Linked DNA regions of Neurospora crassa OR74A. The protein of the gene in region 1 purifies or fractionates together with the protein of each later gene. This does not show direct contact. Links are inferred from orthologs where the notes say so. Each region holds a gene or a part of one and is shown in the gene's direction. Other genes may lie near its edges.

What was found. The genes of interacting proteins can lie anywhere in the genome.
Region 2: the proteins of rpn-3 (region 1) and rpt-5 purify together in Saccharomyces cerevisiae (affinity purification with mass spectrometry; 3 studies listed by BioGRID). This does not show direct contact. The link is inferred for Neurospora crassa OR74A from reciprocal best matches to the Saccharomyces cerevisiae genes RPN3 and RPT5.

The regions. Positions count from the first base shown.
Region 1 is NC_026507.1:3,274,541-3,278,506, reverse strand, and holds rpn-3 (26S proteasome non-ATPase regulatory subunit 3), read left to right. Parts: upstream 1-1,166; 5' UTR 1,167-1,833; coding exon 1,834-2,026; intron 2,027-2,097; coding exon 2,098-3,419; intron 3,420-3,502; coding exon 3,503-3,646; 3' UTR 3,647-3,940; downstream 3,941-3,966. Other genes in the region: NCU02223 (hypothetical protein), read left to right, coding at 1-95, 223-480. UniProt on the Saccharomyces cerevisiae protein: Acts as a regulatory subunit of the 26S proteasome which is involved in the ATP-dependent degradation of ubiquitinated proteins.
Region 2 is NC_026504.1:3,450,359-3,454,646, reverse strand, and holds rpt-5 (regulatory particle, ATPase-like-5 protein), read left to right. Parts: upstream 1-1,488; 5' UTR 1,489-1,791; coding exon 1,792-2,102; intron 2,103-2,181; coding exon 2,182-2,597; intron 2,598-2,662; coding exon 2,663-3,297; intron 3,298-3,356; coding exon 3,357-3,377; 3' UTR 3,378-3,854; downstream 3,855-4,288. Other genes in the region: NCU04413 (UPF0132 domain-containing protein), read left to right, coding at 217-719, 793-954, 1,006-1,060. UniProt on the Saccharomyces cerevisiae protein: The 26S proteasome is involved in the ATP-dependent degradation of ubiquitinated proteins. The regulatory (or ATPase) complex confers ATP dependency and substrate specificity to the 26S complex.

The DNA.
Region 1 (3,966 bases):
TGAACAAGAAGAAGCTGGACGAGCTGGTTCGGCAGGTGTGCGGTGGTACGGCTGAGGGCCAAGACGGAAATCTCTTGACACCTGAGGTTGAGGAGGTACGTTGTTTGCAACCTGATAATCCTTTGTTTTTCTTTGCGGAAGTCCGCGGTCATTCCTTAACCCCCTTTAGCAAACTCACAAAGTCATCACCACACAACCAGCTAACGTGGCATTCCTTTTCAGTCCGTCCTTGGTCTCGCCGATAGCTTTACAGAGAGTGTCCTCCACGCGGCGTCCCGCAATGCAAAGGAGAGAGGATCCAAGGTTCTTGAGATCCGCGATATCCAGCTTGTTTTGGAGCGTACCTACAACATCCGTATCCCTGGCTACTCTAGTGACGAGCTCAGGACGGTTCGCAAGGTGCAGCCCAATGCTCAGTGGATCACCAAGATGAGCGCGGTGCAGGCCGCCAAGGTCATGCCGGGCAAGGGGGATCTTTAATGGAAGGGTATTCAGACCAGAATGAACAAGAGGTTTCGGGTCTCGCTTGTTTGCATGGATGTGGTAATTCTTTTGGGGGTGGGAAATGGAAAAGGGTGGCGTACCGGATGAGACGGAGGAAATACATTCATCTCGGGATACTTGTATGCTTATCCCTGGCATGAGCTACCCATAATATGGCTTAGGTTGAAGCATCAATCCTTTATGGGTTACGAAACAAGCTCCAAATATAATGGGTTGCAAGCAAGTGCAGATTTGCCGTGATATGCCAGATGATGCAGGGTTCAGGAGGCATATGCATATTCAACCCCGTGATAATGCCATCTTGGGAATGCAGACAGAAAGCGAGGACCATATATTGTATAGGCAATGGTTGCTAACACCATCCTGAAATAGGAGCCATGTCTCCCAAGACCAACTCAGTTTGTAAAAGTCTACATTGGTGGTCGAGGTGGTAAGATGTTTTGGATGTTGTCTACCCTACACTTGTAGTACTTGTAATGTAAGGTGTACCTAAGTACCTAAGTACCCTGCCTCGAGCCTGCCTGGACGTCGTCGACAGGCAGCACATCAACAACGTCAGTGACGAGCCGCAGTGGACCCATTCAAGACAATCTGGCCAATCACAATGCCTAGATGTGTGAAGCTCTTCTGGAGCTTGTCCGAAGGCCACCATAGCACTCACTCACTGCACAGGGCGGCCCTTCAGTTGGTCGTCCGCTCTTGTATGCTGGCCCAACCGTGACCGGTAGGTACTTCCTTTCAATCATCAGCTCAACAACTCCCATCAAGCAAAACACGGGTCTGTGAAGCTTGAACTTTCCTTTCCTGCACCGAACTCCGAGTACACAGCTTGGATTGAATTACCTAGGTAGTTATCCATCGACAACGACGACGAAGCAGTTTGCCCTTGGCCCTCGCTTAACAACGCCGACGACGAAGTCACCCCCATAGATACCTCCCTCTCTACCTCTAGTGCTCCATTCCCCGCCTAGAGCTAGATCCACTGCGACTCTGCCAGCTGCTGCTGCTAAAGGTGCTTGCTCCAGGCTTGCAAGAAGGGCGCGCTTCGCGAGATCGCCCCAAGCAACTCGAACTCATACCTCTGCTCTATTAGGTTGCCCACCAAAACGGCGTCATCATCACCGCACCACAGCATTCCAACATCACCCACCGCGCCAACGCAACCGTCAACCCCCACCACATCATCACCCCGTTTCCCATCGACCATCGGGCCGTTACCAACACAGCAACCACGACCTCCAGCCCAGCCAGCCTATAACCAAACCCGGAGCCGCTCCAGATAAGGAACCACTTGAGCACGGAAGCTATTGGGGTGGAAAGGATCTCGACATGACGGACAAGGATACCAAGAAGTCGGGAAAGCAAGGCGAGGACGAAATGACCGTCGTAGTCCCCCCTCCCAAGAACAAGCAGAACTCTGCGCAACCTCCCAACGACGCCGATGGCGACATTGCCATGGAAGACGACACCAAGGCCGGCGAGGTTGAGGCCCAGGTCGACCCCGTCGCCCAAACCATCAGCGGTACGGTACCTTCCCAGTCCCCAGCTTCATCTATCTTTGTGAGCTGAACTAACCATCACTCGCTTGCGCAGACATCAAGAGCAACTTTGCGCTGCTAGACCGTGCTGTTGCCCTGTTCGATCCCAGATTCTCTCTACGGGCACTGCGATCCATCTCGTCGATCCGGAAACGCCTGACGCCCGACATCCTCGCACAAGTCGTCTCAGAAACCTTCTCCGCGTCCTCACCCAATACTCAAGTTGCCGAGCACCTGCTGCTCGCTGTCGACCGGCCAAATGTGACTCTCGGCAGCAGCTCAGACATGGAGATCGACTCGGGATCCAAGTCGCCAGCGAAGAACGGTGGCAAGAAGGACCCCAAGGAGGTGATTCCTGAGATCGACATCTTCCTAGGCATTCTGGCGCAGGTCCACCTCTACGACACCAAACAGTTCCAGCGCGGATTCGCCCTGTCGCGTTTCCTATCCGAGCGTATCCAGTCCCTCAACCGCCGCACATTAGACAGCCTTTCGGCCAAGGTGTACTTTTACTTCTCGCTCTTTGCCGAGCAGCTCGCTCCCCTCCCGCCTTCCCCCCAGTCGCCGATTGTGTCGATCCGCCCGATCCTCCTCGCCGCTCTCCGAACCGCCGTGCTACGAAAGGATATCGACACCCAGGCTTCCGTCATTGTCCTCCTGCTCCGGAACTACCTCCTCACGTCGCATATCTCCCAGGCCGATCTGCTGGTGCAGCATACCCAGTTCCCCGAGAACGCTGCCAACAACCAGGTCGCGCGTTTCCTGTACTACCTCGGCCGTGTCCGGGCTATTCAGCTACGGTACACCGAGGCCCATGAGCATCTCACTGCGGCGACACGGAAGGCTCCCTCGAGCGCCTGCGCACTTGGCTTCAGCCAGACGGCCACCAAGCTCCTGCTCGTCGTAGAGCTCCTCATGGGCGACATCCCCGACCGCGCCATCTTCCGTCAACTGACCATGGAGGCCACTCTCCACCCGTACTTCCTGCTCGTCCGCGCCGTGCGCGTCGGCAACCTCGAGGACTTCGAGACCACCATCGCCCAGCATGCCGACACCTTCCGCCGCGACGGCACCTATAGCTTGATTTTGCGTCTGCGCCAAAACGTCATCAAGACGGGCATCCGCATGATGAGTTTGAGCTACAGCCGCATTTCGCTCCGCGACATTTGCATCCGCTTGCACCTCGGCAGCGAGGAGAGTGCCGAGTACATTGTGGCCAAGGCGATCAGGGACGGCGTCATCGAGGCCACGCTCGACAGGGAGCGCGGCTTCATGAAGAGTAAGGAGGTGGGCGACGTGTATGCCACCAGCGAACCGGCCGAGGCGTTCCATGACCGTATCCGCGCCTGCTTGGCTCTGCATGATGAGAGTGTCAAGGTATGTTTCTTTTTTTTCTTTCTCCCCCTTTCAAATTCCAGAAGTTATGATAGATTTGTTGCTCACAAATTCTTTCTTTGCAGGCCATGCGTTTCCCCATGAACCAGCACCGTCTCGAGCTGAAGAATGCCCAGGAAGCACGAGAGCGCGAGCGTGATTTGGCCAAGGAGATACAGGAGGGCGATCTGGATGAGGATGATCTCGGTGGTGACTTTGAGGGCATTTAAGATGTTTAGACACACACACACACACCACACACGAGTCTAAACTACCTAGATAGACCCCGCCCAATACCTATAATTTGGTCTTGGGAATAGTCATCATCATCATCCCTGTTGTATCTAGTAATCTGGTATGGAATCGTGCTATCGCCGGCCAAGAAATAAGACGGGAAGAGAGAAGAGACAGAGCCTTATGCTAGAGAAAATACGCTACAACCGTATATCACCTACCATCTTGCCTCACTTGTTCATTAGACGTATCCACTGTGTATCGGGCACAACCACCCATCAACATTTCATGCATGCTTTTTTTCGTTTGTTCCTCA
Region 2 (4,288 bases), on another chromosome or scaffold:
CAGCCACTTCCAAAATACAACCACTAACGAGCAACGGCCGGAACGAAGAGACGATAACGAGTTACGGGACCACCACGTAAGGATACGATACATACCTGACACAAGGACACGCTCTTACAAATCGAAACGAGCATTCCAATAATCGCACACGAGATTTCCTAACCTACTACACATCACAACTGTCTCAGGAAAGGCAAAACAAGAACAAACAAAACAATGGACTTCGCACCTTACCAAGCCGCACCCCCGGAGCATGGGCGCACCATCTCACCACCCGACTCCACCTCCTCCCCACGCACATCATGGGACTACGGCCGCCGTTCTTCCTACTCCCCCAGCAGCGGAAACAAGTACCAACAGCGCCCAGCGCAAGTATCGCCTCCGCCACTTCTACACCCACAACCACATCGTGCTTGGTCGGGTGAGGGCATCAGCAGGTATCAAAGTCCGAGTGCTACTCCTGGCACCGCCAATGGGATCGGCAGTGGCATTGGGTTCAACAGTAGGAACGGCAGTGGTGGTGGAGGAGGAGGAGGAGGAGTAGGAGGAAGCATGGGCGAATATTTCAATGCGCTGGGCGCTCGAGAGGGGATGGTGTCCGAGTTTGATACGAGCTTGGGACTGAGGCTGGATTATGAGGCGTGTTTGGCGTATTTGGCAGTGCCGCCGCTGGGAGCGATTTTGCTGTTGATTTTGGAGCGGAAGAGTGATTATGTCAGGTGAGTGAAACAAGACCCATCTCTCGGTATGGTCGAGGAGTTAGCGTTGCTGACATGTGGAACTGGGGATTAGGTTCCACGCATGGCAGTCCAGTCTGCTGTTTACGGCATTGTTTGTGCTTCATTTGTTGATTTCTTGGTCGAGTTTCCTTAGCTGGCTGTTATTTCTGGCGGATTTGGCGTTGGTAGGATGGCTGGTTATTAATGCTTATAGGGACGCCGACACGTTAGACAGGTATGTCTTCCGGGATCCAAACGAGTGGACAAAAGCTGACTTGGTTTCCAGATACGAAGTACCGATTTTTGGGCCGATAGCAAGCGGGATCTTGGACGACGAGTAGACGACTGTGGTTATTGGGGCTCAAACGCATCAGGATCAGTCCGGCATCGTGGTTGTCCTGGGAGAGTTGATACTTGACACTTGACGAGAGGTGTGAATACGGCCTTCTCGTACTCTAATGTAATGCGCTGGTATATTTTTAGTCCGATGAGGGATGTATCGAATCAATTCCTGTGTTATCGAGCCGCTTCCCCGTAAGGGACTAGCTCAAGGGTTTTGGTCAACTCCGTTTAAGACTTCATGAACATCGAAATTGAGTGAAGCACAGCAGATGAATGATCGTGCAGTGAAACTCGACTGAATTGAAACCGTGAACCTGGATGGCCGATGCCGCGTGGTTAGTCAGCTGTGGCTGGTTCACTCTGGGGTCAGAGTGGGGTCTAGAGCTGAAGTACTATGTACATACTGTGGGGCGTTAGGTACCCGGCCTTGTTACGTCGCGCTTTTGCCTGCAGCCCAGCTCCTGGTCAACCACCGACAGCACTCGAAGCTCTGTGCCGCATGTCGACCACGCAACTGCCACCATCCACGCAGCACTGCACTACAAGCACGACCGCCGGTCTCCCAACCACAACGCAAACAACGGCGATTTTCATCACTAACCACCACTACTACTCCACGTCGTCGTTTCAAATTCCGTGGAGATTACATACAGAGGATCAGTAACCCGATCTCTGCGCCCTTGCGACTTTCCCTACCGATACCCCACATTCGCACCCGTCTGCGTCAGCCATGTCGACCCTTGAGGAACTCGACGACCTCGATCGCCGTGAGCGCGAGGACAAGAAGAAGGATCAGGACAAGGATAAGAACAACAAGAAAGAGGGAGATGGCGATGCCGAGATGAAGGATGCCGAGCCCGAGGCCGATGACATCCTAGATGAGGAGATCCTGAGTTTGAGCACAGAGGACATCCTGATGCGGAAGCGCCTCCTCGAGAACGATGCCAGAATCATGAAGAGCGAATACCAGCGGTTATCACATGAGAGGGCTACCATGAAGGACAAGATCAAGGAGAACCAAGAAAAGATTGCCAACAACCGGTAAACATTCCCCCTACACTCCCCTAAGGTTTGCCTTCAGTAGCCGCGAAACCTCCCCTACTAACGCTGGCCTCATCAGACAACTTCCGTATCTCGTAGGAAATGTCGTTGAACTTTTGGACCTTGACCCGACCGCCGAGTCCTCCGAAGAGGGCGCCAACATCGACTTGGATGCCACGCGCGTGGGTAAATCGGCAGTCATCAAGACATCGACCAGACAGACCATCTTTCTCCCTCTCATCGGCTTGGTCGACCCCGAGAAGTTGAAGCCCGGCGATCTCATCGGTGTTAACAAGGATTCGTACCTTATTCTGGATACGTTGCCCGCCGAGTACGACAGCAGAGTCAAGGCTATGGAGGTCGACGAGAAGCCTCAGGAGAAGTACACAGATGTCGGTGGTCTCGACAAACAGATTGACGAACTTGTCGAGGCTATTGTGTGGCCTATGAAGGAAGCCGAACGGTTTAAGAAGATCGGTATCAAGGCGCCCAAGGGTATGTCTTCACCAAGATGGAGCAGAAACTCGCTGCTGTGGTATTGCTGCTAACTTCAGGAATAGGAGCTTTGATGTACGGACCTCCCGGAACAGGCAAGACTTTACTTGCCAGAGCTTGCGCCGCTCAGACAGATGCCACATTCCTCAAGCTTGCTGGCCCCCAGCTAGTGCAGATGTTTATCGGAGACGGTGCCAAGCTCGTAAGGGACTGCTTCGCCCTAGCAAAAGAGAAGGCCCCGTCAATTATCTTCATCGACGAGTTGGATGCCGTCGGTACCAAGCGTTTCGACAGCGAGAAGTCCGGCGATCGTGAAGTCCAGCGAACCATGTTGGAGCTCCTCAACCAGCTCGACGGTTTCGCTTCTGACGACCGTATCAAGGTTCTCGCCGCGACGAACCGTATCGACGTCCTCGACCCCGCTTTGCTTCGTTCCGGTCGTCTTGACCGCAAGATCGAGTTCCCTCTTCCGAACGAGGAGGCACGCGCACAGATTCTCAAGATTCATTCCAGGAAGATGAAGGTCAACCCCGGCGTTAACTGGGGCGAGTTGGCGCGCAGCACGGATGAGTTTGGCGGTGCCATGCTGAAGGCTGTGTGTGTCGAGGCTGGCATGATTGCCCTCCGTATGGGCAAGAATCAGATTGGACACGAACACTACGTTGACGCTATTTCTGAGGTGCAGGCCAAGAAGAAGGAAGTGAGTATTTTCCCCAAGACAACCAATGCTTGTGTGCTGCTTACTGACCACGCGTTCAGACCGTCAACTTCTACGCTTAATGTTATTGCATTTCCTACCGTACTGAAAGCGACGACCGAACTACGGCAAACAGCAAGGTCATGGACGGTTCATAGAAATTTGGCATGCAATAGAGCTAGCGTTGGGTTGGGCATGTCTTGTATCATAATGAAGCGTTTTACCCCGATGACTTGCCATGCCATCCAAATTCTCGATAACCCAGAGGCTTGATGACTCTGATGAACAATGTTTGCTGGCCTTCTTGTTAACTTACTGTTACGTTGCCTACCCGATACTCTCATTCTAGAGGGTGAAACGGTTTCCAGTCCGCCGGTTTCGCTGCCCCGATATTGTCCTGGTAAAACTGAAATGTTAAGTATAGCATCAAACAGATTTCACGGGTTTCCGTATGTGGTCCGTTGACAATGTGACCACCTGTTGTTTGATTTTGATCATTCTTCAATATCATCTTGCATTTCGTCCTTGAGTTGCTACACCAGTGGTTTGCTGCTTCTACGACGACTCATTTATTGATTTTCGAGCGGGTCTTCCATAGTGTGGATTTACTTACCTTTTTTTCGTGGCTCAAGATGTGAACTGTACAAAGTACAACCGATTGCAACTCGCTCCTGATGATCCAAAGCTTGGTCCTCAAAACTAAACCGATCAAGACCTGCAGCTTGAATGAAGATCCAGGTGTCGGTCGTCTGCCAGAAAGATCTCTCATGGTTCAAACACTGACTTCGAATTTTCACCATATTTTTCAGAATTCCGCATGATTCTGGCATCCGCGTTAGAGCACCATCCCTCATAGTTGGTATCCGACAAACCCGAAGTACTCCGTTAGAACAACACAACCACTCTTCCTCTTCGCTACCGCCAATACGTAGCATATCAAATATTGGAACGACCAAAACAGAATATCACTATAGGACGCCAGGGGGGTTCTGTG